Arabidopsis thaliana: one gene and its partners. The protein of the gene in region 1 purifies or fractionates together with the protein of each later gene. This does not show direct contact. Each region holds a gene or a part of one and is shown in the gene's direction. Other genes may lie near its edges.

Region 1 (7,321 bases):
AGAAAAAAACTGAAGACTGCTATTAAATATAGTTCTTGAACCGAGAAACAGCATTCAATATATGAAAATGATCTAGGCTACACACCTAGATAAAGAACTAGTTAATCCCAAAAGAGTTGGAGTAACAGCAACATTAGAATCGTTGATCTTCACTTCCTCATTCAAAGCAATATCTCTAAGTCTCTGTTCCAATACCCAATTGTACATCAGTCTCAAATATTCAAGAACAAGCCAAATAAATAAATAAAAAAACTAATAGGGAGTTGTGGACTACTTGCCTCAAGCCAACCAGAGGCAGAGTTCGAAAATGCCATTAAAGTAGGAGGAGATTTAAGAGAGGCATTAATTCCACTAACAATAGACTCCACAAGCTTCAAACATGTAGCAGCATACAAAAATCCAGCGAGAAGGACATGAAGGCTTGACTGAGACAAATGAGAAACTCGTATCTCACTTTTAGCGCGGAAAGTTTGTTCCTTTCGGTCCCAGAAAATGAAGGGACTAGAGAAACCTTGCAAAGCTTGTAAGAGACCTTTCACCTAATTAACCTCCGGAGAAAAAGGGTTTAAGTTGCTTTGCCGAAAAGAATTTGAAAAGAGTAGTGTTTGTGGCATTACCAGATGGGATTCATTCACGCTCACTGAAGGAGGAGCTAGTTCTGAGTGTGTCCAAACTCTGTGACTGCACATCATTCCCGGAATTAGGGTGTCTAAGCCGGCGTGATCAATACGAAGCAACGACTCAGACATCACTGTGAATTTGATTTTCACATACCAAATTGGTTCGGAGGGAAATCGGAGAAGCTTTGATGTGGGTGAATTTGAGAGAGAGTGAGTGAGAGCAAGTGAAGAAAGGTCTCAAATGGGCCCAAATTATAAAGGCCCGTCGCAGTGACAAAGATTATCACATTACGAACGATCTAAAACATAAAACCTTCTTTGGTTGGTTGGTTAAGGTATTTATGAAATGTAAGATATCTCAACTCAACATTCAAAATCAACAATGTCTATAATATGAACTTTTGAGTCTTAAAAGATGCGACTCTCTGAAGTCAAAGTAAGTGAAGTTTCTAAACGACATGATCAGAGTTCAACTGTTAAGAGAAATCTATGAAGCAATGGAACAAATGAAGAGTATAAAGAGAGACTCGTGTGTTGTTGAGTTGCTTGGTGTGTCTTAAGTTGTAAGCAGGAGATAGACGAGGCCTTTTAGATATTCCACTATTTCAGATCCTCCGAGTTTCGAAGTTCCAAAGACTCTGTCAACAAAAGTGATCGGTACCTGCAGATGAAGATGAGCACCAGAGAATCAAGAATATGAATGGAAATATAGTTTAGAAAGAATCAAAATCACAGTGAATTGGTATAAAAAGAGAGACCTCTTCAATATGGTATCCTTTTCTGGTTGCACGAACAATCATTTCCATCTGAAAGACATACCCTTTACTCACACATGAGCTAATCACGTCTTCAAGCGCCGATTTCTTGTATAGCCTTCCAAACAAAGAGGTGCGGAGGTCAGACATGATACTATCAAATGATGTCAGTTAAAAATATGCGCATATGTTATTTGAATTATACCGGAATGATCCTGTTAAATCAGATACACCAGGCCATAAAAGTGTTTGAGCTAGCACATTTGCTCCTCTACTAGTGAGTTTCCGCATAAGATTCCACCCGTGTACACCACCACCTTTTACATATCGTGTACCAGTTACTATACTTGCATTTGTCTCTAGTTGTTTCCTTTATGATAATAAGAAAAAAAACAAATCAGTTGAAGTCACTATAGGTTGTGAAACTAGTAAGAGATCAAGAGACTCTTCTTTTTCTTACTTGATGAAACTTGGTAAGTATTTTGGCTGCACAGAAGAAAAGTGACTGGGTTAGCTAAACAATTAAACAGGTAAACAAGAAAACTAAATTAATGGCTCTTACATGATGTGAAAGATCAGCATCCATGATCACGACGAAATCACCCGTAGCATGCTTCAAACCATGAATATATGCAGTTCCTGAGATTGACCATGCCAAGAAAATTAATTTCATTTCTTGTTAACCAAAACTAGAAGACAATGAAGATACAAATTACATACCCAAACCAAGCTTCTTGGCTCTAGCTCTTAAAAGCTGCATCATAAAAAAGATAAAAACATGATTTCACCTAAACAGAAGAACGCCCAATAATTTACAAATTAAGGTCTTAACACATCATTGTACTCACGATACGGTCTTCACCATACAATTGCTGCAGTTGCTTGACAATTTCCTGTGTGCCATCAGGACTCCCATCATCCACAACAATTATCTCAAAATCAACGTCCCTAAATCATACAAACAAGTAGCGAAGCAAATTCTCAGTAACAGTTAACAAAGAGTCTACTTAACAAGTGCAATTCTATATTAATTTCATATAAGCAGCCATAACCAGAATCGATCTAAGATTAGCACATGTAGCTTCTGACTATTCTCCGATCACTAAATCAAAGTTTTTAAAACACCATGAAACTACTACTATATAGTTTGAGGGATCACTACATTGGCCTTTACTAGCTCATGCACAGAAACAACAAATCACGAATTAGGATCTGCAATCTACAGAAACATGATCGGAAAATTTCCGAGATCCGTAACTTGAAATTGGCGATCAGGTTCGAGTATTCAGTAAAAGAATAACAAAAAACGTAATTCCGATTCTGAAATGAAAGAATGAACGTGAAAAGACCAAAAGAAATAAATATTCATTTACCGGAGATGCTTGAAAATCAGGTAGACTATGATAGCGATGTTGAGGCGCTCGTTGTAGGTAGGAATGATTATGCTATACTTGTACTTCTTCTCTCCTTTGGTCTCCATCTCGTCCGCCATCTCTTCCGGCGAGTTTTGGTAACGGTGGTTCCTTCGTCTTAACCCGTGAAATCAGCCGTCGTCTGTACAAAAATAAGGATTAAAATAATGTCAAATATAGGGACTAAAAAGCAAGTTTCTCAAATTGGGCCTAATATAAATATGGGCCTATATAAAGCCCAAAAATAAATCAGGAAAGCTTTAAAAGAGGTAAACTCGTCAATCGCATCTGAGTCGCTCTTCTTTCCTTCCGCCATTTTTTTCTTTCTAGGTTGCAGAGTTAAAGGAGAAGGTTTTCAATTAGGGTTTTGTAGAGAGAAAGATGAGCCGAAGTTTGGGAATACCGGTGAAGCTTCTTCACGAGGCCTCAGGTCATATCGTGACGGTGGAGCTAAAGAGCGGCGAGCTTTACAGAGGAAGTATGATTGAGTGTGAGGATAACTGGAACTGTCAGCTCGAGGATATTACTTATACCGCCAAGGTAATCAACTGATACTCTGAAGATCTCGATTCATTTTATATGAGACTGTTTTTTGAACCATAGGTTTCGTTTCAATTTCATTGTTTGATGTTAGTGCTGTTAAAACCCTAGATTTGGTGAGCTGGGCAAATTTGCTGGGAAATTTTAGATTGCTTCTTATTTTAAGTTCTAAGTGAGATTAAGAATCCTTGAAATTCATGCTGTATAAAACCCTAGAATGCGTGATCCTGCCAGTGACATTAGATAAATTTTGACTGTAGGGTATAGTCTCCTCTGATTGGTTAAACTTATTATTGATCTATAGGACACATCAATAACTGAGAAGAAAGGTTCTACGTTTGTGCTTTGTAACGTTTTATCCAAAGCCTAAGTTGCTCTTTAGGAATACAGTGGTCAAATGTGAATTATCTGAAGTATGCAGGTCTTAAAGCGTCCTCTTATTTGCGGATTATTGTGCCGTATGGGTTTTGAGTCAACCTGTAATTATTGGGAAAAGAACTACATGTAGTTCTCAATTCAGAAAGTCTTAACTCTTTAAGTGTTATTCTTCATAGTATACATAAATAATCTGTCAACTTAATGGGTTTGTTTGTTAATTGTCACTGAACTTTTGTTTTGGGTTTTCCAATGCTGTGTTACAGGATGGTAAGGTATCACAGCTTGAGCATGTCTTCATTCGAGGCAGTAAAGTCAGGTGCTGTACTTGTTTCCTTGTTTATGTAATTCATGGGATCATTCTTGTTAACCCTAGCTGTTTAGTAATTGACCTGCGGATATATCTTGACAGGTTTATGGTCATACCAGACATTCTCAAACATGCTCCAATGTTCAAGCGGTTAGATGCTAGAATCAAGGTATATATGCTTTTTGAACCCTGGATGCAGAATGATATTAGGATCTCTATACATATCTCCAACAAACATCTTACCTTACTTGCTTAATCAATGTAGGGAAAGAGCTCATCACTGGGTGTTGGCAGAGGTAGAGGTGCAATGCGAGGGAAAGTAAGTTCACCCTCTCTCTCTTATGATTTAGTGCTCATGAATGCAATGTTAGGAAGTTTTATGGAACTTGTTAAGATGTTCAAATCCTTGTTATCCCTTAATGGTTTGTTTCTTCTTTGTCACTACTAATGGTTAGATTCTTGAATCTTTGTGATATTATCTTAAAGCCGGCTGCCGGGCCCGGGCGTGGAACTGGAGGAAGGGGAGCGGTACCACCTGTGAGGAGATGATTGATTTTACGCTCAACATGTAAGCTTTGATTCTGGGATAGTCTTTCTGTGATATCCAGGTGAAAGCCGCCTTTCTTGGTTCTGTCATTAATGCTTTAGAGAACACTGTAAAACCAAACAAGAGAGAGAGATATCCAGATGCACTACTAGTTCTGTATTTTGGGTTACCAAGATGTTTGAATCATTGACAAGTTTTCGTTGTGATCTATTTTCTTCTTTGCGCATTCTCCATTTCTGACAGTAGATGAGTAAAACAAAGTACATTGTTTTCATAAAGGTCTTAATAAGACTAAGATCAGAAAACAAAGTTGGTCATTTATAACATTAATAATATAAGCTAGAAAATAATATTGTACTTGTATTTTCAACATGTAAAACCTTGTCTACTGCTATTTTCCCAAATTATCCAAAAAATTTCCAAAATGACTTGTACAATATTTAGTCTATAAAAGTTTAGTTCCAGAGTACCAGCAAACACCAAAACGACTTGTAGAAGAATATTTGATGGAGTGTAGAGGTTCGGTTCCTGAGTAATATTAACCAAAATGGGTCATAGAGTTTCCTGAGTATTTTACAACGATTATACATGAAATTAGTAGGATCAATTCACAAGTTGAATATAGGAAAGCATGATATCAAAAGATTCTTTTTATTCTCTCTCAAGTGAAGAAAGATCTTAAAGACCTTAAAAAGAGAAGAACCGAACCAACCATTGTACATATCCCATTTGGGCAACTTGCTCTATCTCTCTTTCTCTCACACTCTTTTTGTTCAAAAGAAAAACTCGAGTTATGTCATATTAGATTCTTATTATAGTTTTTTCCTCCCTTAAAGCAGAAACCCAGCTGGTTCACTTCTTGCAGCATGAAAGAACTTAGATGTGTTGTACTTCCTGTGAGCTTCCCTGTTCCTGCCTTGTGATGAAAAGCAACCATCTTTCTCGCACATGCCCTAGGAAAAAACACAAAACCCATTGTCAGGATTCCAAAATCTCATGTCATCGGGTTTTCAAAAAAATTCGAAACAATCAATGTATGTTCTTACAGTAGCTGTTCTTCGTTGTAGCCTGTGTGAAACTCACAGGTTTTGCTCCATTCTTCAAATCCCTTAAGTGTACACTGAGCAGTGTAGATTGCTGAGGCCGCCAGCTTAGATGGAAGATACTCTAGCATCTCATACTCCACAAGGCAAAGCTCGATCATAAAGAATGATAAAATCTCAAGCTGACACCACAATTGCATATACCACACCGATTTAGATATTAGGCCTGATGGTTTCCGGACATAATGATTCAAGCTTTTTTAGTTAGGGAGATATATACCTTCTTGTCAGATTGGGCAGCTTTGAGAAATCGTTTCATGAAAACATATGGAGTTGGTAGAGAGAAATTGAATTGCAAGGTGTTGGCCATTAGCTTCTCCTGCAATAGAAACCAAAAACAGGTAAATTCAACTATGAAGCATCAACCAGTGGTAGTTAATGATCAAGACAAAGTTGTGTATTCACCATATCTAGCACTTCTCTTCTAGAGTAAGCTTTGTCAGAGATCAAGATGAGATCATCTACCACTGGAACTGAAACTTCTTCATATTTACATGCGAGCAACAAAGCAGTAACACCAACAAGCTGAAGCTTTTTCCTCACGATTTGATGAACCGCAAGGAATCTGTCGATGACAAAAATCTTCTTAGTTTTTCCCTAAAGACAAGAATGAACAAACATAACTTGTATTGAGATAACAAGAACTCAAGTTACATAAGAAGTCGTTCAAGTAGAGCATATACATGTATGATATAGAAATTTATACGACATGGTATCAAGAAACAGAGCTTTTTATTATAAAAAATTCATCATCAGCTATTAGAGAGGTCTCTAGTCTATATCTCTCATTGACGTTTTTGAAAAACAGAGCAGTATTTTTACAGAGTTAAAATAATTATTTTGTCGATTAAAAAAGTTAAATGTGTTTTTATTAATTACAACTAGATGAACACCCATGCGTAGCATCGGTTTTTGTTTTTTGAATTGTCGGAAAAATATGATTATGGTTTTTTTTTTATTTTGATGTTCAATATAATTATTACTATAATTCATATCTATTTAATATAATTATTAATTTTTATGATTAGTTTCATCTATAACTCGAAATATCAATTCTACTATAATATGAAAATTTATATATCTATTTTTCTAATATTTAACTATCATAATCACATACAACAACAATATATGATAGATTGATAAAATGAATGTAGTTATATTACTTATGTGTTTTGAAACTTGTCTAACTTAATTATAACAAACAATTTTTTATTCCATATATTTTTTTGTCATCTAGTAAACAATCACATCATGATATGCTAGTAATTTAAGTCAACACTTTAATTATTTTCTTTTGCATATAACAATATAATGTCTTATGTTTTTTTTGGTATGTCTAATGTGTCAGATGACTATTACGTGAAAAAAATTGTTTATCAATATTACCAAGTTATCAGAACGCACAAAAATATACAGAAAGAAGGTCATATGATAAAATCATATTCACAAAACGTAATAATAAAAAAATATCTAACTAAAATTACTAAACTAATATGAGGTGGCCAACTTTCATATATATGATTTAAATGGAAAATCAAAGTATAAAAGGAAATTGATTTGCTAGAAAGAAGGAAAAAAACAAACCCTATAGATAGGTTCTTCAGCAAGGTAAGATAGAGAGAACGTGAGAGATCGATCATGGCGAATTCAACAGGTAAA
Region 2 (7,343 bases), on another chromosome or scaffold:
AAATTCAAACAAAAAACGAACGACCAATCTTTAATCGTTTACATGAACTGTGGTGTGCTAATAAGGTGATAACAATATTTAAACGTTGCTTTGACTCCCTTAAAAAAGAAAAGAAAACCAATTATAGGAAGAAATCAAACTCCAAACTTGTCACTAATGGGAAGAAATAAACCAGTAATTAAAACTCGGACCTTGTCATTAAGTGTGTGAAAGGCGTGAATCTTCACAATCCTATAAGACAAAACCTCCTTATCCACCGTTAGATTTAAAGTTCATCATCCAACGGCTAGAAGTCTAATCCCGCTAATAATTTGACCGTTGCGATTATGCTTTTAATGGCTCCTCCTCTCTTCTCTATCCCTTAAGCGCTCTCTCTCAAATCTCAATCATCCTTCTTCTCATCTAGAAACCCCTTATCTTGGAGTAATCAGAGAGTTTGAAAACACCAGAAATCATGGCGACAGGACCAGTTGTTCATCCTCAACCAGTTAGAGGTTTGTTTCTCCCCTCTGATGAATCTTTGTTTTAACTCTAGGATCTGCATAAAAACTCTCATCTATGAATCCTTTTATTTAGATGTTATCAAAGATTGCTTACAAATCTGTTTTCCAAGGATCCAAATCTTGATAGGTTGCTTTTTGTTAAAATTTATCAGGTGATCCCATCGACCTCAAAAACGCAGCAGCAAAGAATCGTCGTGCTCTTGGCGACATTGGAAACGTCGATTCTCTTATTGGAGTCGAAGGAGGAAAGCTTAACCGCCCCATTACTCGTAACTTTCGTGCTCAGTTGCTAGAAAACGCACAAGTTGCAGCCGCCGCTAACAAAAAGGCTCCGATTCTTGATGGAGTTACTAAGAAACAAGAAGTTGTAAGAGCGGTTCAAAAGAAAGCAAGAGGTGATAAGCGTGAGCCGTCAAAACCAATCGAAGTGATTGTGATAAGTCCTGATACAAACGAGGTTGCTAAAGCTAAAGAGAACAAGAAGAAAGTGACATACTCTTCGGTTCTTGATGCTCGAAGCAAGGTAGATTCTTTGTTCAACATTGAAAGCATAATGTGCAAAGTTCTGATTATTTGGTTTTGTGATTGGTGTACACACTTAGGCTGCTTCTAAGACTTTGGATATTGATTATGTCGACAAAGAAAATGATCTTGCTGCTGTGGAATACGTTGAGGATATGTACATTTTCTACAAAGAAGTTGTGGTACACTTACAGTGAAACCTTCTTTTGTTTATGCTTATGGATAAGTTATGTGAATGTCTTCTTTAAGTTTGTTGTTTTGTTCTTTGTTGCAGAATGAGAGCAAACCTCAGATGTATATGCATACACAACCTGAGATTGATGAGAAGATGAGATCAATCCTTATTGATTGGCTTGTAGAAGTTCATGTCAAGTTTGATCTCTCCCCTGAGACTCTTTACCTCACTGTCAACATAATTGATCGTTTTCTTTCTCTGAAGACTGTGCCTAGAAGAGAACTACAGCTTGTAGGTGTTAGTGCTTTGCTTATAGCTTCGAAGTACGAAGAAATCTGGCCTCCTCAGGTCAATGATTTGGTATATGTGACTGATAACTCCTACAACAGCAGACAGATTCTAGTGATGGAGAAAACCATTTTGGGGAATCTTGAATGGTACTTGACAGTTCCAACACAGTATGTGTTCCTTGTGAGGTTTATTAAAGCCTCGGGTTCTGACCAGAAACTGGAGAACTTGGTTCACTTTCTAGCTGAGTTGGGTTTGATGCATCACGACAGTTTAATGTTCTGTCCTTCCATGCTTGCTGCATCAGCGGTCTACACAGCAAGGTGTTGCTTGAACAAGACTCCTACTTGGACTGATACACTGAAATTCCACACAGGCTACTCCGAATCTCAGCTCATGTTAGTCTTCTTAATTCTTTACACTAGCAAGTTTGTGATCATATTGTTTGTATATTAATTCTCTATGTGCGTTTCTGTGTGTAATCAGGGATTGCTCAAAGCTTTTAGCTTTCATTCACTCGAAAGCGGGGGAGAGCAAGCTACGTGGTGTGTTGAAGAAGTATTCGAAACTTGGAAGAGGTGCTGTTGCTCTGATTTCACCAGCCAAGTCTCTTATGTCATCTGCTCCATGAACAAGGCTTGAAAGATGGCTCTCTTGCAAACTCTGCATTTTAGATTCTCTATCTTTTATCGTTTTATATGTAAAGGTATTGGTTCTTGTTGAGAAATGATGTTTCCGTATGAATTCAAAAGTATTATAATGAAATTCTTCTTCTCTTCTATAATCAGAATCGTTTTGGTCCTTTTTCCCATCATATTCTTTAACTATGGAGTCAAATTCAAATTACATAGTTATCTGTTATAACTTGAAAACTTCTTTGTTCTTCATAAGACCAAGTACGATGGTACGATCAAGGTGAAGTTGTTCACATTTGTCAAATAATAATTTCCAATAAGAAATCTGGTGAATTTTGTTACTTGTCAAAAAAAAATCAAGAAAATTAACAAGACTAATAGTAATAATCGAACGACGACGTAATGTTTAAGAAAAAAAAACACCAAACGACGACGTAATGGGTAATGAAAGTGATGAGGGTATTTACGTCAATTCATAGAGGTACTCCGATGTAACCCTAATATATAACGTGCATTTGTAGCGCCGTGAGTGTCCTTCTTGTTTACACTGAGCAGAATCTAAAAACACTTATCGTTTCGTCTCTTCTCTGATCCATTGTTGAAGATGGTAAGCTCTTTCTCTCCAACATTTTTCTGTGCCAGATCATTTGGTTTTCGTTAGTCTGTTAGGAAATTGAGATCTGCGATTTCACTTAGTCCTGCTAGTTTCCGATGTTCCATACTTATACGTTTGTTTCAGCTATGCAAAATTGACTTATTGATCTTGGCTTGTCTGATTCATAGTTTAGGGGTTGTCTGATTAATCTCCATGTATTGATATTGAGCTGATGGTATGTAATTATGGTTAAATACCAGTGAACAATTTGTTTCTCAAATGTGTTTTGTTCTCTCTGTATATAATAGTCGAAGAGAAAAACTAAGGAGCCAAAGGTTGAGACTGTGACTCTTGGACCTTCTGTTCGTGAAGGAGAGCAAGTTTTTGGTGTTGTTCACATCTTTGCATCTTTCAATGACACTTTCATTGTAAGTTTTTTCTCATTTATTCTTAGCGTTTGTGTAATATAACCTTCTGTGTAATGCGTTTATGACATTGCTTTCAATATTTTGCAGCATGTGACTGATCTCTCCGGTAGAGAAACTCTCGTCCGCATCACCGGTATGTTTCCTAGTAGTGAATTTTATTACCTGTGTTTATGTTAGTGTAAAATTCATTTATATTTCGAGAAATATAATGATTATGTGACCTTTTGCAGGTGGCATGAAGGTGAAGGCTGACCGTGATGAGTCCTCTCCTTATGCTGCTATGCTTGCAGCTCAAGATGTTGCTCAAAGATGCAAGGTCTGAAATGATTCGATGTCCATGCCTTTTTTTAATTGACTTTGAGGTTCTGGATGATAATCTATAATGGTTTATGTGACAGGAGCTTGGCATCACTGCCATGCACGTGAAGCTCCGTGCTACTGGAGGAAACAAAACCAAGACTCCAGGTCCTGGTGCTCAGTCTGCTCTTAGAGCCCTTGCTCGTTCTGGCATGAAGATTGGTCGTATTGGTAAACACACAAACTTAGTCTCACTCAAGTTGTTTTGTTTTGTTTTGTTATGATTGCTCATTGGAAGCTGAATCTTTCTTGAATGCATTTTGCAGAGGATGTGACTCCGATTCCCACAGACAGTACACGCCGAAAGGGTGGACGAAGAGGAAGAAGACTCTGATTGCACGATGAGGCTCATCATCGTTGCAATGTGCTCTTGAGACTGTGGGTATTTTCTTGGGTACACTTCGAAGTTAGTTTTGTCTCTCTCCAATTTATCTTTCCAGTTGCTTTGAGAACATTATAAGCTGTGTTTTTTTGTATTTGGAGTTTTTGGTATTGAGAAAAAAAATGTTAAGTTACTGATCGCGTCGTGTTACTGTTAGTTGGCTTATTGATATTTTACATTTTCTCTCTTTTTAACTTTGGCGAATGGATACTTTATCGAGATATTTAATGCTATGGTTGCTCATCAGAATCAGATTAGAAAGTCCGATGCAAGTTTTAGTATGTCGTGCTGGTTCCGAAATCAAACCAAGCCAGATCGTTGTTAACTTGTCATAATCTGTTTTTGAGGCCCAATTATTCAACCAAAAAAGTCAATTTTAAGAATGAAAAGAGTTGATTTGTGGCATGTGGTGAATGCAATTAACAACTATACGAGAGATTGTATGATAAAGACATCAAATATCCCAAGTCCGGCTTTTGGAATTCTTGATTAGAATGTTATCGCTTAGATTGTGTTGAATGGCATCTCTTGCAAGAAAAAGAAAACAGATTAGCAGATTATGATCATATATTTCTTATTAGCCCTGAGCTGTTAGTGCATTATAAGCATCAGACCCCACTTATAGCCTCTTGCAATGACTTAAAACTCATCATATCCTCATTTCTTGATGCTCTTGGTTGTTATCGAAGACATAAACAACATGGATGTTTAAAGAATGCTCTTTTATGTTCTTTAGTCTCTATGAGGAGCCATATCACAGGCAATATTTCCTAGTAAGGAGAAAGGTTTGGTAATTAATTGATGCAGTGGGTATCTTTCTTTTAGTTTTATGGCTTTTGACTACATGTAATTCAGATAATTTTGGATGGGTAATCACAATTCAAGATAAATTGTTATAAATAATTTAGTAATATAAATGACTAAATATCTCTAATTAGTAACACCGGGTGTTTGGTCTAGTGGTATGATTCTCGCTTCGGGTGCGAGAGGTCCCGAGTTCGATTCTCGGAACACCCCTACTTTTATGTTTTGAAACATGTGAAAGGCTTTTTTTGCGGTCAAACCCATTAACAATGGGCTTGAAACGACGGTGCTTCGACCACTCTAGTTTTGCAGACCGACGTCATTTTTTTTCTTTCTCTTTCGCTCTGGAGACTGGAATCAATCGAGTAAAGTGTTCGTAGCTGAGAAAAACCCTAAGCTCTCGTTTTTCGTCTTCTCCGATTCTGCAAGTATGAGTCGATCAGGTCAGCCTCCAGATCTCAAGAAGTAAGTTCTCTTCGCCACTTTTTTCCTTTTGATTTCTAATTTCTCTGTATCCATTTAGTTGAAGTTTTTGGTTTCATAGAGCTCCTACTTCTTCGTGTTTCTGATTTTGTTCTTCGTTTGTTTCATGTAATGCAGGTACATGGACAAGAAACTCCAAAGTAAGCTCGATCTCTTCTTCCACTTTTTCAATTTTAAAGCGTCTTTAAGTCGAACCTAAATCTCTTACTCAGATGAGAATTGCTTGCAACCCGATTTCTCAACTTAAGAGCTATATTAATGCCATTTCAGTTCATGTATTACTTGGGATTGCGTGTTTTTGTGTACTAATTAAACTTGTGTTTACAATTCCAATATATAGATTCAATGCTAATCTTGGTTAAGAATATATCAATGTCACATAAAGTTAAGAGTTGTATGGATTCTTAGGTTTTGTATCTCGTTCATTTAGAATTTTACTAGACTTTGTTTGTTATCATGTTTTTGTAACTTGGTATGGTCAAGTGAAGTTCTTGTCTGCTTTTTTTTGTTGTTACCCCCAATGTAGTTAAGCTTAATGCCAACAGAATGGTTGTTGGAACTCTCCGTGGCTTTGATCAGTTCATGAATCTTGTTGTGGATAACACTGTTGAAGTCAATGGTGATGACAAAACTGACATTGGGATGGTGGTACGTTTCTCTCCATCTCTCTAACTCACCCACAGAATCTTCTTGTCATTTGTTTTGTTTAAACATTCTACTTTTTTCCTGGATGCAGGTGATAAGAGGAAACAGCATTGTTACTGTTGAAGCTCTCGAACCAGTTGGAAGATCTTAGCTTATGACTTTTCACCCCCAAGTAATCATCTTCTGTAATATGAGACTTTGACTTACTTTGCTCTCTGTACCGGCATGAATCAATCTTGATTTTATTTGATGAATTCCTCTTCTTTGGCTCCTCTACTTATGTCATTTTACCCTTGTTCGGTCCTGTTTGTTCCCTATAGATTTTTCTGAACCCTTGATTTGATGGATACAAGGAAATTTGGATACTTACTGTCCTTGTGTTATAATCTCTTATCATATGTGTTAGTCAGGTATAAGTTATATAATCATTTCAAGTTAGAGAAATCAATGTAGTAATGAAAAAGCTAATTTTGAATGGTCCAAACCTTAGAGAAAGCAAAATACTTTTGTTGTGGGGATCTGAATTTTGGGTAAATGAGCTCCAACGGTTGTTTTTCTTTTGCTTTATTAGTATTTTAAACCCTTTTTTAGCCCTCTTTTTATCAAAGTGAGATCATAATCATGCCGTTTGGCTCCTCTGTTACTATTAAAGATGTTGTTATATGAATAAGAAGAAGCTAAAAGAAAGAAAAGGAGAAATAAGAGAAGTGAAAGTGGAAGGAATCAAGGAAGCATGTGCCCCACGAAGTATTGTGTGTGAGGCAAAATGAATGAAATCGGTACAATATCTATCAATCTCCAATGAAACAGCAACAACAACAACATGTAACCACAACGGAATGTTCGGCACGTGGGTCGTCGTCGGCACACACGTGGGGTGGGCTTTGTTCCAACTTACATTCATATCAAGTATTATCAACCACAAAACTATGAGTTGAAATGCCTTTTTTGGTAGAAAAGTAGGTATTTGTGTTTTGTCTATAAATTCTAAATTATTTTCTGTCCAAGTCATTATACAATTTGATGTGTTTTTTAACATTTCGTGGTCGGGGATCTCCAACTAATATAACAAGTAAACGAATTTTAAACACATGGATTTACAACTAATCCAAAAAGAACTTTCACCAACTTCACTTTCTCTTTTATTCTTTTCTCTTTGGTTTTTGGGGAAGAGAATAGAAAGAGTACGAGAGATTGCTTCTTTCTAAATTCTAACGGTAAACAAATATTACATAAAAATGTTAACCATCTTCGTATATTATTCTCATGGACCATTTGCAAGTAACTAAAAGATTCACTTTAGATGCAAGCTGTTCAATGAACTTCACCATCCTTTTTTTTATTTCTTTCAAATTTGATTTTACAATATCAATCTCATTTTTGTTTGTCACAATATCAAAATCTCACATCTTAGCGTGGATTACAATTTGTGTTTAACTATTCCATCATCATTAAATTTAATGACCAAAAGCCATAGAAATTGTGTTATTATGGATCATTGGTTGTTATTAGGTTTACCAAGTACA
Region 3 (7,564 bases), on another chromosome or scaffold:
ATAAAGTAGAGCTTCGTCAGAGGTTGATGATGCCTGAGTATCTTCGTCTCGCTATGCGTGACTGTATCAAACGCAAAGATTCCTCGGCTATTCCTGATCATTTACTTCTTCCTGGTGGTGCTGTTGCTGATATGGCTCCTCATGCTCCTATGGTTGTTTTCATTAACCCCAATTCTGGTGGTCGTCATGGTCCTGTTCTTAAAGAGAGGCTTCAACAGTTGATGAGCGAGGAACAGGTTTTGCTCTCACTGAACTTGTATTTCAAATCTTTTTCTTTGGGTTTTTGGGGGAATTTCGAATCTAATTTGTATCTACTTTGTGTTTTGATTATGTTAGTTTGGAAACTTTCTTAAAGTCTCTGGCTTTTAAGTTTTTAATGCTTGATTTATATGTTTATGCTTAGCTGATGTTAGATCTAGTGTTTTGTTGGAACTTTGAAGGATGAGTTACGTTTAAAGATTGAGTCTTTTGGAAAGCTGAGTGATGTTGATGTTGTCAAGTTATTGGTTTGAGCTTTTGATATTGAAACTTCATGGTGACTTTTGTGTTGATACAGGTGTTTGACCTCACGGAAGTGAAGCCGCATGAGTTTGTTCGATACGGGTTGGGGTGTTTGGAGAAAGTGGCAGCGGAAGGAGATGAATGTGCAAAAGAATGCAGAGCAAGGTTGAGGATTATGGTGAGTGTATTGACCATATTTTTCTCCAATCTCTATAGATCCACTTGAATGTTTTTAGCAATCAGAATTGTGAATGGAATTGGTTGGATAGGTTGCAGGAGGTGATGGTACTGTTGGTTGGGTTCTTGGATGTCTTGGAGAGCTTAATAAAGATGGAAAGTCGCAAATTCCTCCTGTTGGAGTTATTCCTCTCGGTACAGGGAATGATCTTTCAAGGAGTTTTGGTTGGGTGAGTTGTGTTTTCTTTGTTCTCTCTTATGTTGTCGTGACAAAACTTTTGAATTGGTACTGACTATGGTATCTCTTCTTCAGGGTGGTTCGTTTCCTTTTGCGTGGAGATCTGCTGTTAAAAGAACACTCCATCGCGCAAGTATGGGTCCAGTTGCTAGACTTGACAGGTAAAAGTCTTATTTTGCTCAAAACATTTAGCTTTTATTGTATTTCTCTTGTTGTAAAAATGTATGCGCTTTGGTTATGTGGTGTTGCAGCTGGAAGATTTTAGTGTCAATGCCATCTGGAGAAGTCGTAGATCCTCCTTATTCTTTAAAACCCGCTGAAGAAAACGAACTTGATCAGGTTTTGCTCTATTTCATTAGGCTTGCTTCTTCTCATTGAATCATCAGCATGTGATTTTGTAAATTGCCACGGTTTAGTAATTAACCAGGCTTTATGGTGGTTTCAGGGTTTGGACGCGGGAATTGATGCGCCTCCACTTGCAAAGGCTTATGAAGGTGTTTTCTACAATTACTTAAGCATAGGTTTGTTGAACTTCTCTTTTTGATATCCTAAACAATTTTCACAATTGTTTTTCTGACCAGATTCTTGTGTTTGTCTGGTTTGTTTAGGTATGGATGCTCAAGTTGCATATGGCTTCCACCATCTTCGCAACACTAAACCATATCTTGCTCAAGGCCCTATTTCAAATAAGGTTTGTTTATTATATTTGCACCTAAACTTTGGACTCATTATTTGTCTTTGTTAAAAGCTAAAGTAGTTATGTTGGTTTTGAGAAACGACATTACCAACCACACAATGTTTGCTTTTGCAGATTATATATTCAAGTTTTGGTTGCAGTCAGGGTTGGTTTTGCACGCCTTGTGTCAACGATCCAGGTTTAAGGTTCGCCATTTCGACTCTTATTGTGTAGTTGAACTTGTGTGTAAGTCTCTGCTTAAGCCCTTTGTTGTGTTGTTGACCCCTTGTTTGTGCTATATGAATTTGCAGGGGACTTAGGAACATAATGAAAATTCACATCAAAAAGGTTAACTGCTCTCAGTGGGAAGAGATCGCAGTCCCGAAAAAGTAAAAAACAGTTTTCGATATATGATTTATGTATTACAATCTTTGATATCAATGCTTAAAACCTGATGCTATGGATTTCTCTTGTAGTGTGAGATCAATTGTCGCATTGAATCTTCACAGCTATGGAAGTGGAAGCCATCCTTGGGGCAATCTAAAACCGGACTATCTAGAGAAGGTATTGTTTCTGTTCCATTTCATCATATATGAACTCAGTTCTCTGATGTTAACCCGAATGTTTTCTTTGGTTTTTCTCAGAGAGGCTTTGTGGAAGCACATTGTGATGATGGTTTGATAGAGATTTTCGGTTTTAAGCAAGGATGGCACGCGTCATTTGTCATGGCTGAGCTCATCTCTGCCAAGCACATAGCTCAGGTAACTTCAAAAGACACTGGTCAATGTATAATCTTTTTAGCCATGTGTTTGACTGTTTCATTTTGGTGATCATTTCAGGCTGCTGCGGTAAGATTTGAGCTAAGAGGAGGTGACTGGAGAGACGCATTCTTGCAAATGGATGGTGAGCCATGGAAGCAACCAATGAGCACTGAGTACTCAACATTTGTGGAGATCAAGAAGGTTCCTTATCAATCTCTGATGATAAATAATGAATGATTGAGATTCAAAGCTGGATTCTTTGTACAAAGCTAATTGTTTTGTATTTGGATTTGATTCAGTTAGTCATAGATATAGCCTAAGCTTTTTAGTCTTCTTTTCTTTTAAATCTGAGATTGTGACCATTTTTCTCTTTTTAATTTCTGCTTATTGTTGGTTTTGTACATTTTTGTGTTGTGAGGAATGAAGTTTGTTTATTTATAAGAATGTGGGAAGATAATATTTGGTCAAATTTCAATCTCTCTTCAATCTTTGTAATTCTAGCATTGAGCACATAGATGTGATTCTTTGTCATATTTTTATTTATTTTAACACTAGTTCGACTGAGAACCAATTTATCATCGACACCAATTTCTAAGTAAGAATATTTTTAATAATTATCATTATTAGTCGTATATTTTTACCAGAATAATAAAAAATTAAAAACCTAAGTTAATAAACCACACAAAAAAGTTTTTCTCTCTTCGCTCTCTCGTAGTTTGTAAAGATAGAAACTGAAATTTCTTTTGTTTTTGTTAACCGGATAGTTTTCCGGTGAGTCGCCGTCCCGTTTAATTCGGGCTTTCGTCCGACATCTTCTAGCTACGTTAGTGGAGATGGTTGGCTTTTTGTATGGCATCGTTGGCTAACTTAGCGACGTTGGCCAGCTTCCGTACGGCAGCGTTGGGCTTACACTAACAGCGTTGGTCATCTTTGTTTTTGTTTTGTTACTTCAAAGGTTTGATGATGAAGCTTTATGGCATGCAGAATCGTCAGATCTGAAGAGGGTTTCTCTTTACAAGATCTATTCTCCTTCTGTTTTGTTTAGCTTCACTATTGGGTTATGCTTTTGGCTCTGGTAGTTTTTCGGCGATGTGTGCGTTTCCAGCAATTACCCTCGTTTGGATCTACCATATTTAAGACAGTTTCAATTTTATTTTCGCCTAAGATTGGGTTAAAGCTTCTATCCTATGCAAATTTGATATGCCTTTAGTGCTTTTGCAAGAGAGTTCGAAGATTCAATGGTTGGACAAGTTTGAACTACTCAATTTTTTTAATTTCTTTACCCGTTTTGATGAATTATTTGTGATTCTAGCAACCATATGAGATTAGGAAATTGATGTTTGTTCTATAACATCTAATTGCCATAATCGGTGATAGAAAAAAAGAGTTTCATTGCTCGGTGCTTTCCCGGCGATGGTTCTCCGATTCACCAGACTTGAGTCTCATCCGGTGGAGGTTGTGGAAGATTCACGTGTCCTTAGCTTATTATTATTGGTCTGACACGTCTTAAGCTTATCTCTTTTTTGTGACGTAAAAGTCTGTTGTGGACCTCATATGTAGACTGTCTTGAGCCTTTTATGTTGTAACACTGAGCCTCAGTATATTAAAAATAAATCTTTCTCTGAAAAAAAAAAAAAAAAAGTTAAAAACCTACGCTAAAAAATTCTAGGTCTTGGAAAAGAGTATTTGGGCCAAATGATCACATTAATTAGTTATGGGCTGAAATAACATTCTGAAGTTTTATGAGGACCGAGAGAACTAAGTTTAAGAAAAATGTTGAAAAAAGCGTATTAGCAGAGGGACAAACGCTTTTTAGGGTTTTAGATTTCCTCTGAGAGAGAATTTTCGAAAGCTTGAGAGAGATTTCCAACTACGTTAGCCATGGCGAGCACCAAAGTTCAAAGGATTATGACCCAACCTATCGTACGTTTCTTCTTCGATTCCTTTGTTCCATCTCTTTATTGTTTCTATCGAAACCTAATTTTGTATCTTGCTTTTTGTTTTCCGGTGGCGGCGGCTCCAGAACTTGATTTTTAGGTTTCTTCAAAGTGTAAGTTGTTCAATTTCTTCTGATTTGCTCTCTGAGGTTTTAGGTTATTAGTAGTTCGTCTACTGATTTGTTCCCTGGTCTTTTGTGTTTGTGATGCAGAAAGCTAGGATCCAGATTTGGCTATTTGAGCAGAAAGATTTGAGGATTGAAGGAAGAATCACTGTAAGTTGATGTTGAAGCTCCGTTATCATGAATTGATTAGATTCCTGGCTTTGTTTATAGGACATTCGAGGGTTATGCTAACTTTAGGAGAGTTTGAAATGCATTAGCAGTGTGACTATCTCTCTAATTTAGTCTGTGTTTGAACTGTTGCATTTGTTGTGAATTGAAAAGGGATAGTTGTCACTGTTACTACTACTGCACAAAGAACTGATAAGAGCCTGCCAATAGAAACTAGTTTGATTAGCTAGCTGTTCTTAGGTTGAGTATGATTGTGTCATTCTCTTCGGCTTAAAACTTATTGTCTCCTACAGCCTACTTGGCTTTGGGTGTTACTTGTTTCAGTTTGTTGCTATGCTTGTAGTTGTATGTCCTCTATGATTTTCGAGTTATGATTCAAGCATTCAAGCTTTTCTTAGTTTGATTCTATGATAATTTGGAGAAACTTGAGATTTTGTGATGGTGTCATTCTCATTGGCTTAAAGGTTTGAGTTGTCTACTTGACTTTTGTTGTTCCATGTTGCAGTCTACTTGACTTTTGTTGTTCCTCGAGTTAAGATCCTAGCTTTTCTGAGGTTGATTATATGTATGGAGGAACATGATATTTGTGATAGTGTCACTCTACTCGGTTTTAAACTTAGATTTTTGTCTACTTGAATTTGGGTGTATTATTGATTCTTCTAGGAGAATCCATCAAACCTTGCTTATCCGTCGTCCTTTGCAGGGTTTTGACGAATACATGAATCTAGTTTTGGATGAGGCTGAAGAAGTGAGCATCAAGAAGAACACCAGGAAACCACTTGGTGAGTTATCCTGAACTCACTCTTTGATAACAAGTCTCAGATCTGTCTGCTTATGGTTTGATAACTCGTGTTAATACCTATTTTCAGGAAGGATTTTACTCAAAGGAGACAACATAACTCTGATGATGAACACGTAAGTAACACAATCTCTACTCTGTCTTCTCTCTTTATGATGTATAGCAGCTTGATTTGTCACATAACAAAAGATTGAAACAAAATCCTTTCTATGTTAACAGGGGAAAGTGATGTCTGTCTCAAACAACTCTCTTCGATGACCTTCAAGCTTATGTTAAATATCTGTTGAGTTCTTCCTCAGCTTAATTGGTACTTGACGATACCTTCTTTTCTTCAATGTCGTATAATATATTGCAATGTAGTGAGTGACAAAGGAGCTTGATCGAATCTAGTGGATTGGTTGGTTAAAACTTCAAAAAAGAGATTTGGTCCCTTTTGGTTAAATCTAGTGTTATGTAATTTGGCTGATCTTTGTTGCAACTTTTTAACCTCTGTTTAAATTTCAAACCTTAAAAAAGTAAAACCAATTGATTTTGATTATAAAAAAAATTGTATCATTTTTGTTTGTTTGGTGAACTGACCGAGTTGGCCATTCTCAGGGCTCAAGTAGATTGAAAGTTTAATTATACTAATAGACCAATCAGAATATAATCTGTTAAAGTTAACATAAAAATACAGAAATCTATGTGAACATTAACTTTTCATTGCAATTAGATGTTTTTATATCCATGTTGATTGTTGAATCTTATCCCTAATCTTGCTATTGGTGAAATGAATGTATTTTTACTATTAAAGTCTTTTTTTAATAACAAATAATTGGACTTTATACAACAAAGTATTATTATTTAATTATCAACTTTAGAATATAGCATGTGCCAAAAATACATACACTAGCCGCCGGCCCAAGAATGTCGTCCAATAAACGAAAAGCAAAAGTGACGGCAATCCAAGCCTACTGTGATCTTGTCCGCACCCGATAACTATCTTTAATTACTAAAACTAGTCAAAGTACTCGACTAATCACAAAACTAGACAAGTGTTTCAAGTAAATTAATTTTTGATCTTTTCATTTTATCTCTCTCTCTTTTTCTTCTATCCAAAACACCATTTTTGAGGTATTTTTCTCTCTCCTTCGAATCGAATTTTCAGGTTTCTCTTTCCGTTTGTTTGAAGAAGCTTTTAAGTAGAATTCATAAAATCTTGCTTAGCTTCTGGGTTTGATTTGTTTGTGGTAAAGTTTTGATTTTTTTTTTAGTTTGAGAGCTGGATTTGTGATTCTTTCTCTGGGTTGGTGAAGTTTTTTACTTGCTTCGATCTTATAGATCAGAGCTTCTAGCAGCGTAAAAAATGCAGACGAGGTATATGGAGAGGACTAATAGTATGAGAGAGAAGAGAAAATTGGAGGAAGATGATAATCAGCAGCAGCAGCAACAGCCTGAGCGTAAAAGGCCAGCTCTTGCAAGGTAATTTGTGTTGATGCTTGTAATTTTTCTGATTATTGATTATGGCGTTGTTGAATCTGTAATTGATTTGTAGTTGTATGAATGAAAAAAGGGTTGTTATGTATATTGATTGTCTGTGGATTTGAGAAAGTTGTGTATGTGTTATTGCAGTGTAATTGTGGAAGCCTTGAAGATGGATAGTTTACAGAGGCTTTGTTCTTCTTTGGAACCGATTCTTCGCCGAGTGGTTAGCTTAATAAGAATTGTTTACATGTCTTTTGGTGCTTTGTGTTGTTTCTTTGGCTTACTGATTTGTTTTGTGAGCATTGTCAAACAGGTAAGTGAAGAGGTGGAGCGGGCATTGGCAAAGCTTGGCCCTGCAAGACTTAGTGAAAGGTAACATATGACTGTTTTAAAAAGAGATAAAATTAATGGTTGGAGTATTTGTGGTTTTCTTCTAATGCTTGAGTTCACAGGTCGTCTCCAAAACGAATTGAAGGTATCGGTGGAAGGAATTTGCAGCTACAATTCAGGTCTAGATTGTCTGTTCCTTTGTTTACTGGAGGGAAGATAGAAGGGGAGCAAGGTGCTGCAATCCATGTTGTACTGTTGGATATGACAACTGGACATGTTTTGACAGTAGGACCTGAAGCTTCTGCAAAGCTTGATGTTGTTGTGCTTGATGGTGATTTTAACACTGAAGATGATGATGGTTGGAGTGGAGAAGAGTTTGAGGGTCATT
Region 4 (7,336 bases), on another chromosome or scaffold:
GCATGATACTGAGAAAAAAGTCATTTCTTTCACTGCTTATCATTTTTTTTAACTTTTATATTTTAGATTTGATGCATTATACTAGTTAGGATTTGTGTAGTGATAGTAGCAGATCATGGATCTTAAATTCACTGTGGACCTTAGAACATTTATGTGTGTAGTAATACTCCTTAAATGCCTCTAGAAAGCAAGTCATGGAGGGTGTTAGGACCGGTAGGTCAACAAGTCTTACTTTATGTGGTTGGTTTTGGTTGGAGAACGACCCTCAGACTAAATTTAATTTATTTCATTTTTTTGGTCTTTCCTCGTTTAGAGTGTTGTATTTGATCCCTTGCAAATTAAATTACCTTTCTTTCTATGGCTAGCTTGGTGGTTGAGAAAATTTATTCGGAAGTTGATACATGTTTGAAACTAAACAAACTGATACATGTTTTGATTTTAGAATGCGGAATCAGGCTGGCTTCAGCTGGATACGCGGTTTTTGGTATGGACTATGAAGGTCATGGAAGGTCCATGGGATCTCGTTGCTACATCAAGAAGTTTGCGAATGTTGTGAATGATTGCTATGACTACTACACATCTATTTGTGGTATTTCATTTGACATATATAACAATAACATTCCTCTCTCTCTTCTTCTCCGTTTATCAGTAAGAAGAGATTTTCTCAACCCCTTAAGTTAATCCGGTTAATTTTATGTGACACCAGCGCAAGAGGAGTACATGGACAAAGGCAGATTCTTGTATGGAGAATCCATGGGAGGCGCAGTCACTTTATTGCTTCACAAAAAAGATCCTTTGTTTTGGAACGGCGCCATTCTAGTTGCTCCAATGTGTAAGGTAAAAAACCTGCAACTATAATTTTAGATTGCAGAGTCGTAGGTGATAATAATATTGAAATGCAAAGTATATTGTTATGTTTAAATATGCAGATATCTGAGAAGGTGAAGCCACACCCTATAGTGATTAATCTGTTAACTAGAGTCGAAGAAATCATACCTAAATGGAAAATAGTTCCAACAAAAGACGTGATTGACGCTGCTTTCAAGGACCTCGTCAAGCGAGAAGAGGTCTGTATAGTGTATACCAACCCTCTGATCACCATCGAAATTGGTTATATGTAAATAATTTGGTGTGTGTAAATGCAGGTAAGGAACAACAAGCTGATATATCAAGACAAGCCTAGGCTCAAAACCGCACTTGAGATGCTTAGGACAAGCATGAACCTAGAAGACACTCTCCACGAGGTTCATGTCTCTTATTGATTGTTCTTGATCCCGTGTTATGACATTATTTCTGACCAAGACAACATGATATTGCAGATAACAATGCCATTCTTTGTATTACACGGAGAAGCAGATACAGTGACGGATCCAGAGGTAAGCAAAGCTCTGTACGAGAAAGCTAGCACAAGGGACAAGACGCTCAAGTTGTATCCAGGGATGTGGCACGCTCTGACGTCAGGTGAGCCTGACTGTAACGTGGACCTTGTTTTTGCTGACATCATCAATTGGCTTGACCTTCGAACCGCTGACCCTGCCTCTCTCACTGTCACTCCTATACGAGTTGGTAACACTACGAGCGTCCAGAGGGTAACTACTGTTAACGGCGTTAGTAACGGTCATAGGAGGCCTAAACGTCCCTTCTTCAATCTCCTTTGTGGTTTGAACCGTGGCCGTTTGGTTCCACGATCCACTGTGTAATAAAATTTTATCAAGGCAAACAAAAAACAATTTATGAAAAAGAGAGTTATGATTTTGTGTGAATTATTAAAGATTGGTGGTCTCATGGTTTGAAATTTGAAAATGTATGGCCCAAAGAATTTATAAGTTATGGCTACCTAAAATATTTATATTCGTTTGGAAAACGTTAAAGCCCCCCAAAAAAAACATTAAAGCCCATATAAATTGACAAGGCCCAAAATTTGAAAGGCCTAACTTAACTATGTTGTAGCGCCGGTCCGCCAAGTACTTTCGAGTATCGAGTCGTCGTTCTTCTTCTTCCTCTGAGAGAGAGATCTGCGGAAAACGAAAGCGAGATTTATCAGGTAAGGTAAAACCCTAACTTCTTCGATCTTTCCTTGTGCGAAAATCTGTAATTCTGCTTTCCTGAGTCTCTTTCGTATTCCTTTACTTTGATAGGTTCGGTGATTCTTTGTGGAGAAGAAGCTCGCGATAAGTCAACATGAGGTATATCTCTCGATGGTTCTAAGTTTCTTCTGCATTTTGTGGTGCTCAATTTGAGACTTGTCTAACACTGTGGTGTTTCTCTTGATTTTCTATATTTTTTCTCGCAGCAAGCCAATGGAAGAGGATACCAATGTAAGCTTCCTTCTAATTTCTCTCGCTACTGCTTTTCTCGATTCGCTGTTTGCCATAATTCATCTACTGTTTCCAGTTTCATCAATCTTAGCTGTCTCTAGTACTTGAGTAGGACTGTGCCACTAAAGATTTTCACTGAATTTTTGTTCCGTTCTGCGTTGAATGGGCAGTAGAGAATTGGATGTTTTCATCACTTCTGCCCTTTGTTGTAATGTCATTTGATTGTTGCTGTTATAAACTCCATTAGTTTCCTGCTTGTATGATACTCTTAAGGATGTGTTCTCTCCTTAAATGTTGTTTCTAATTCATCATGCTTGATACTGTCCTTAGCAGGGCAAGACTGAGGAAGAGGAATTCAACACCGGGCCACTCTCTGTTCTTATGATGAGCGTCAAGAATAACACTCAGGTATAGAGATCTCTAGGAGATGTATTGAGCTTCTGATGTTAGATAATGATGTTGTATATGAAAACTGATTAAATGGATAGATGTTTTTGACCTTCATGGGCTAGGTGTTAGACAATGAAATATTGAAATGTATAACGAAGAGTGGTTAAAATGGAAAGGTTATTAACAAGGTCAACTTTTTTATGTTCAGGTTTTAATCAATTGCCGGAACAACAGGAAACTTCTTGGGCGAGTGAGGGCGTTTGACAGACACTGCAACATGGTTCTTGAAAATGTCAGAGAGATGTGGACTGAGGTAGCCAATATTCATTATCCTGAAATCAGTTTTGTCTACATATAAAACTTGTGGTGCCTGAGATGGCGTTGGTTTGGTTTAGGTTCCGAAAACTGGGAAAGGCAAGAAGAAAGCACTTCCGGTGAACAGAGATCGGTTCATAAGCAAGATGTTTCTACGTGGAGACTCGGTCATTATCGTCCTCAGGAATCCAAAATGAGAGGAAGAGAGACTTAGAGACATGTTCCTTGTTTGTTGTGCTAAAACTGATAAATTCTTGTAGGTAGTAGCATCTTTTAAAGTTATTCGTCTCATTTTCGTTTATGTCCGAATTGACAAGATCTTTTAAAGATCTTTTAAAGACATGTTCCTTGTTTGTTGTTTGTTCAGCTCGCATGTCCAAGCTCAAAACTACGGTGATTGCATTAAAAAAAATAAAACTTTAAAATCGGTGAGGTTTCAATATCACTACATTGACAGGAATAGAAATATCAAAATTAAAAATGAAAACGAAGAGAAACGAGAATCTCCAGCGACAGTTACTCTGTTGATGATGAAGTGGTGGAAGAATCCTGCTTTTGGTCGCCAAAGACACGTTGACGGAAATCTTTGACCATAAGTGGGAGTCCTTGGCGTAGAGCCACCTTTGGTTCCCAACCAAGAAGCTCTTTGGCCTTTGTGATGTCTGGTTTCCTCTTGTGTGGGTCGTCCTCTGTGTTTGGTCTGAACTCTATCTTTGCGTTCGGGTCAATTGTCTCTTGAACCACCTGCTCACCCACCATCCACTCGTTTGGGTCAGATACAAAGATTTTGAGTGATCAGATTATATGTAACAACAAGAGAAAAATGTACCTTAGCGAGCTCGAGCATGGTGAATTCACCGGGGTTACCAAGGTTAAATGGACCGACATGTTCTCCCTCCATCAACCTCATCAGACCTTCCACCTATCACATTATATTTTGCACTCAAGTTTACCAGTACACAATAATAAATAACCATGTAAGGATACGTAGAGACAAAATGAAGCATGATTTTTCAGCTCAACAAAACAAGGACATGGTATAATAAAGATCCGTTGTTGGTACCATAACATTGATTGATATCCATCCATCCCCAAAGTTTATGTCACACTTTACAGAGCTAATCCATTTTACTATGGCATCAAGGTTAGTGAATCCCGTTCACAAAATCAAATCATAGAGAGATCGTAAATACAAGTGATTAGACTAACTATCCGAACCTCAAATATAGATTCTCAGCCACTTATTGTATCCTAGTGAGATCAACTATAACTTTGAATAGTATCAAGATAGACTGTTTTCTGTTTTTACCATGTCAAGTCTGAAGTATACCCCATGAAAGTAACAATTGAAAAAGATGTGGTCATGGCAAAATTTGAAGAAGTAGGGCTACTACACCATGAATTGAACTTTTCCTTGTTTTTATCTAATCATGAATTTGAAAACTTAAGGAGGAAAAAGTAAAAGGGGATTACCAGATCAGAGACAAACTGGAAACTCCTAGTCTGCTTACCATCACCATAAACAGTCAAAGGCTCTTTTCTTAATGCCTGCACAACAATCATCATTACTTAATAAAAGGTATAATTCCGTTGATCATTTATTAAGCCACTTAATCTAACACAAAGTCCTCCGCACCTGGGCAACGAAGTTGCTAACCACACGACCGTCATCGATACACATCCTTGGGCCATAAGTGTTGAATATCCTAGCAATCCTAACCTGTTGAGGAATAATAAATCAGTCAAAATCTGCATCTGCATTTTCTAGCAGCGAAATATAATGAAAAAGAAAACAGACCTCAACATTAGCGCCTCTGTGATAGTCCATGGTCAAAGTCTCAGCCGTACGTTTGCCTTCGTCGTAACAACTCCGAACACCTGTTCCAATTTGCCATATCACTACTCTTTCAATATTCCACCAAACACAAATTGCTCAATCTATTATTTCAGAAAGAAGAAAATTTGATTAAAATGTGGGAAGGGGGGTAAAAGCGTCAAATAAGGAGGATAAAAATATCTCCTGCGGGTGCGTCTATGAAAGAGACACACGTCTGAGAGCCGTACGATTAAAGGACCCACAATCTACGCTTCAAATGGAAGGAACTTTGACCAGATCTTAAAAAAGAACTCTCTCTCTCTGTGTTTCTTCTGCTAACGTGCTGTGTTTCTTCTGCTAACGTGCGCTTAATTGTTGTTTCAAAATGAGGAAGAAGAAGAAGAAACAGAGAGGGAGATGAAGGGGTAGTACCGATGGGATTAACGTTGCCCCAGTAAGTCTCAACCTGAGGATGTTGAAGAGGATCTCCATAGACCTCACTCGTACTCGTCAGCAAGAATCTTGCTCCCACTCTCTTCGCTAGTCCCAACATGTTCAATGTTCCCACCACATTCGTCTTGTATCCACACACACAGAGTTAAGGACAAGAGCAAGCAAGATCCATACTACATATAACAACATTGATGATGATAAACTGAAATTCCTATAGAAGGAAAAGAAAAAGGATATGATAGTCTTGACGGGATTGAATTTGTAGTGAACAGGAGAAGCAGGGCATGCCAAATGGTAGATCTGATCAACCTCTAGAAGGATCGGCTCCACTACATCGTGACGGATCATCTCGAAATTAGGGTTATTGAAATGGTGCATCACGTTCTCTTTCCTTCCCGTGAAGAAATTGTCGACCACGATCACGTTGTCTCCTCGAGCCATCAACCGGTCCACCAGGTGTGACCCGACGAACCCTGCTCCACCTGTCACAACAACCCTTAGCACTTTCCGTTTCAAGCCTAGAGGGATTTTGCCGCCTGCCGATCCGATCCGGCTCATGTACTCGATGCTTGGCTTCTTATGAATCGTCGCTGGCAGATACGATGACTCCGATCGCATTCCGTATCCGGAAAGCGGATCCACGTCGTAAGGAATTGGTTGGTGGTTGGATGATTTGGAGAAGATTGTGAATCCTAATGTGGCGATGGCAATGCCGACGAGGACGAAGACGAGTCTCTGTTCTCTGAGCATGTAACGGATCGGACGAATCGCTACGAACCATGGCTTTATCGGCTTTGGATAATAAGATTCCGCTTCTGGTTGCTCTATCTCGTGTCGCCGGTTTGTCAGCTCAGACGCCATCTTTCAGAGTTTCTGGATCCACGATCGTGATAAATGGAAGGAGAAAGTAATCGTGATTTTACCGAGTCGAACTAGCCGGAGACTGAGTCGACCTGTAGGACGGGGAGTGAAAACCGATTTGGGTTTTCGCTTGTATTTAAGTAGACGAAGGTGCGTTACTGTTTTAGCCTCGTTCTTCTTCTTTTATTACGATGATGCCCCTATATTTACTTTGTTTCTCTCTCTCTTTTAGGCGTTTTTCAGATTTGAAAAGTAAACGATTCTTCAAAACCGGACGGACATTGATTACTATCTTCGTTCATTTGTTGACCAATTACAATTTTCTCTTTTATAAAATGTTGTCTTTACAAAATTAAATGACTAGTTTTATAAAGAAATAAATTTATTTTCAGTTTTGTATTTATTACTTGTTGTGAATCAATCTATTTATGACTTATTAAATAACTTTGATGTTTTATTTGGCAACTACTGACATTTTCTTTGCATTTTTATATTTTGTATAAATTATAACTTTTGTATTCATTGTCATTATGGGGAAATGAATTTTTGAATTGGAAAGTGCTGACAACATATAAAGTATATGTAATATGACTATGTAAGTAAGGAATTATTTAGAGAAAACTTCATACTCGATCGATATATAAAAAAACGACGAAAATGTATCATAGAGTTAACAAAGTAGAGTAATGTACCTTAAGAAAGTCAATAAGCGCCTAATTTGTCACGCAAAGCCAATTTGATGGCAACTTTGAGTGATTTCAACGCTCGTTTATTTTCTTCTGTTTAATTATTTTTCCCACTAGTGATACCTAACATATATATATGATCATTTATGTATACATTTATCGTTAGGAAATATATTTTTCTCGTACGAAACGTTTATTGACAGATTTATAAACTCACATGCATTCATAACGTTTTCACTTTTTTGTTGAGAAGAAAACGTGACATAACAACGTTTTTTGACACAAATTTTGGCATATTATTATTTAGGTACAAACATGTTTTGAGTTTCGATGATAACTTTTTTTATGGGTCAGATTATATTGTATGGGTGACCGTGGTAATAACATTTATCTAGGTTTACTTTGACGTTAACTTCCTAACATACATAAACAAAAACGAATATAAGTTTGCTAAGAGAAAAGAGGAAGAAACAATAAGAGATTGATTTGGTGTCGAT

The links.
Region 2: the proteins of AT1G20580 (region 1) and AT3G11500 fractionate together in Arabidopsis thaliana (co-fractionation; one large-scale study listed by BioGRID). This does not show direct contact.
Region 3: the proteins of AT1G20580 (region 1) and AT2G18740 fractionate together in Arabidopsis thaliana (co-fractionation; one large-scale study listed by BioGRID). This does not show direct contact.
Region 4: the proteins of AT1G20580 (region 1) and AT2G47640 fractionate together in Arabidopsis thaliana (co-fractionation; one large-scale study listed by BioGRID). This does not show direct contact.

What each region holds. Positions count from the first base shown.
Region 1 is NC_003070.9:7,125,811-7,133,131, forward strand, and holds AT1G20580 (Small nuclear ribonucleoprotein family protein), read left to right. Parts: upstream 1-3,056; 5' UTR 3,057-3,168; coding exon 3,169-3,327; intron 3,328-3,968; coding exon 3,969-4,021; intron 4,022-4,114; coding exon 4,115-4,181; intron 4,182-4,277; coding exon 4,278-4,331; intron 4,332-4,498; coding exon 4,499-4,561; 3' UTR 4,562-4,989; downstream 4,990-7,321. Other genes in the region: AT1G20570 (Spc97 / Spc98 family of spindle pole body (SBP) component), read right to left, coding at 86-183, 279-539, 618-749; DPMS1 (Nucleotide-diphospho-sugar transferases superfamily protein), read right to left, coding at 1,177-1,281, 1,379-1,493, 1,581-1,745, 1,836-1,861, 1,938-2,014, 2,096-2,129, 2,224-2,323, 2,749-2,867; AT1G20590 (cyclin), read right to left, coding at 5,356-5,512, 5,606-5,784, 5,883-5,981, 6,068-6,259, 6,485-6,655; AT1G20600 (AP2/B3-like transcriptional factor family protein), read left to right, coding at 7,301-7,321. UniProt on the Arabidopsis thaliana protein: Core component of the spliceosomal U1, U2, U4 and U5 small nuclear ribonucleoproteins (snRNPs), the building blocks of the spliceosome. May play a major role in the splicing of cellular pre-mRNAs. Required for normal plant development.
Region 2 is NC_003074.8:3,620,251-3,627,593, reverse strand, and holds AT3G11500 (Small nuclear ribonucleoprotein family protein), read left to right. Parts: upstream 1-4,987; 5' UTR 4,988-5,119; coding exon 5,120-5,154; intron 5,155-5,289; coding exon 5,290-5,312; intron 5,313-5,698; coding exon 5,699-5,820; intron 5,821-5,908; coding exon 5,909-5,968; 3' UTR 5,969-5,989; exon of another isoform or gene 5,990-6,261; intron 6,262-6,469; 3' UTR 6,470-6,632; downstream 6,633-7,343. Other genes in the region: CYCB1;3 (CYCLIN B1;3), read left to right, coding at 455-494, 656-1,026, 1,106-1,207, 1,300-1,886, 1,975-2,119; AT3G11510 (Ribosomal protein S11 family protein), read left to right, coding at 2,728-2,730, 3,027-3,146, 3,234-3,279, 3,377-3,462, 3,545-3,674, 3,770-3,837.
Region 3 is NC_003071.7:8,119,100-8,126,663, forward strand, and holds AT2G18740 (Small nuclear ribonucleoprotein family protein), read left to right. Parts: upstream 1-4,121; 5' UTR 4,122-4,234; coding exon 4,235-4,276; intron 4,277-4,376; coding exon 4,377-4,403; intron 4,404-4,502; coding exon 4,503-4,565; intron 4,566-5,286; coding exon 5,287-5,365; intron 5,366-5,452; coding exon 5,453-5,498; intron 5,499-5,601; coding exon 5,602-5,611; 3' UTR 5,612-5,979; downstream 5,980-7,564. Other genes in the region: DGK3 (diacylglycerol kinase 3), read left to right, coding at 1-236, 557-679, 771-908, 992-1,077, 1,168-1,255, 1,362-1,437, 1,525-1,607, 1,728-1,798 and 4 more; AT2G18750 (Calmodulin-binding protein), read left to right, coding at 6,728-6,843, 6,994-7,069, 7,160-7,218, 7,299-7,564.
Region 4 is NC_003071.7:19,535,212-19,542,547, forward strand, and holds AT2G47640 (Small nuclear ribonucleoprotein family protein), read left to right. Parts: upstream 1-1,962; 5' UTR 1,963-2,044; exon of another isoform or gene 2,045-2,049; intron 2,050-2,138; 5' UTR 2,139-2,181; coding exon 2,182-2,186; intron 2,187-2,293; coding exon 2,294-2,318; intron 2,319-2,648; coding exon 2,649-2,726; intron 2,727-2,916; coding exon 2,917-3,021; intron 3,022-3,103; coding exon 3,104-3,220; 3' UTR 3,221-3,539; downstream 3,540-7,336. Other genes in the region: AT2G47630 (alpha/beta-Hydrolases superfamily protein), read left to right, coding at 443-589, 707-837, 930-1,067, 1,146-1,244, 1,320-1,700; UXS4 (UDP-xylose synthase 4), read right to left, coding at 3,540-3,785, 3,853-3,945, 4,497-4,571, 4,660-4,743, 4,822-4,901, 5,272-5,419, 5,530-6,153.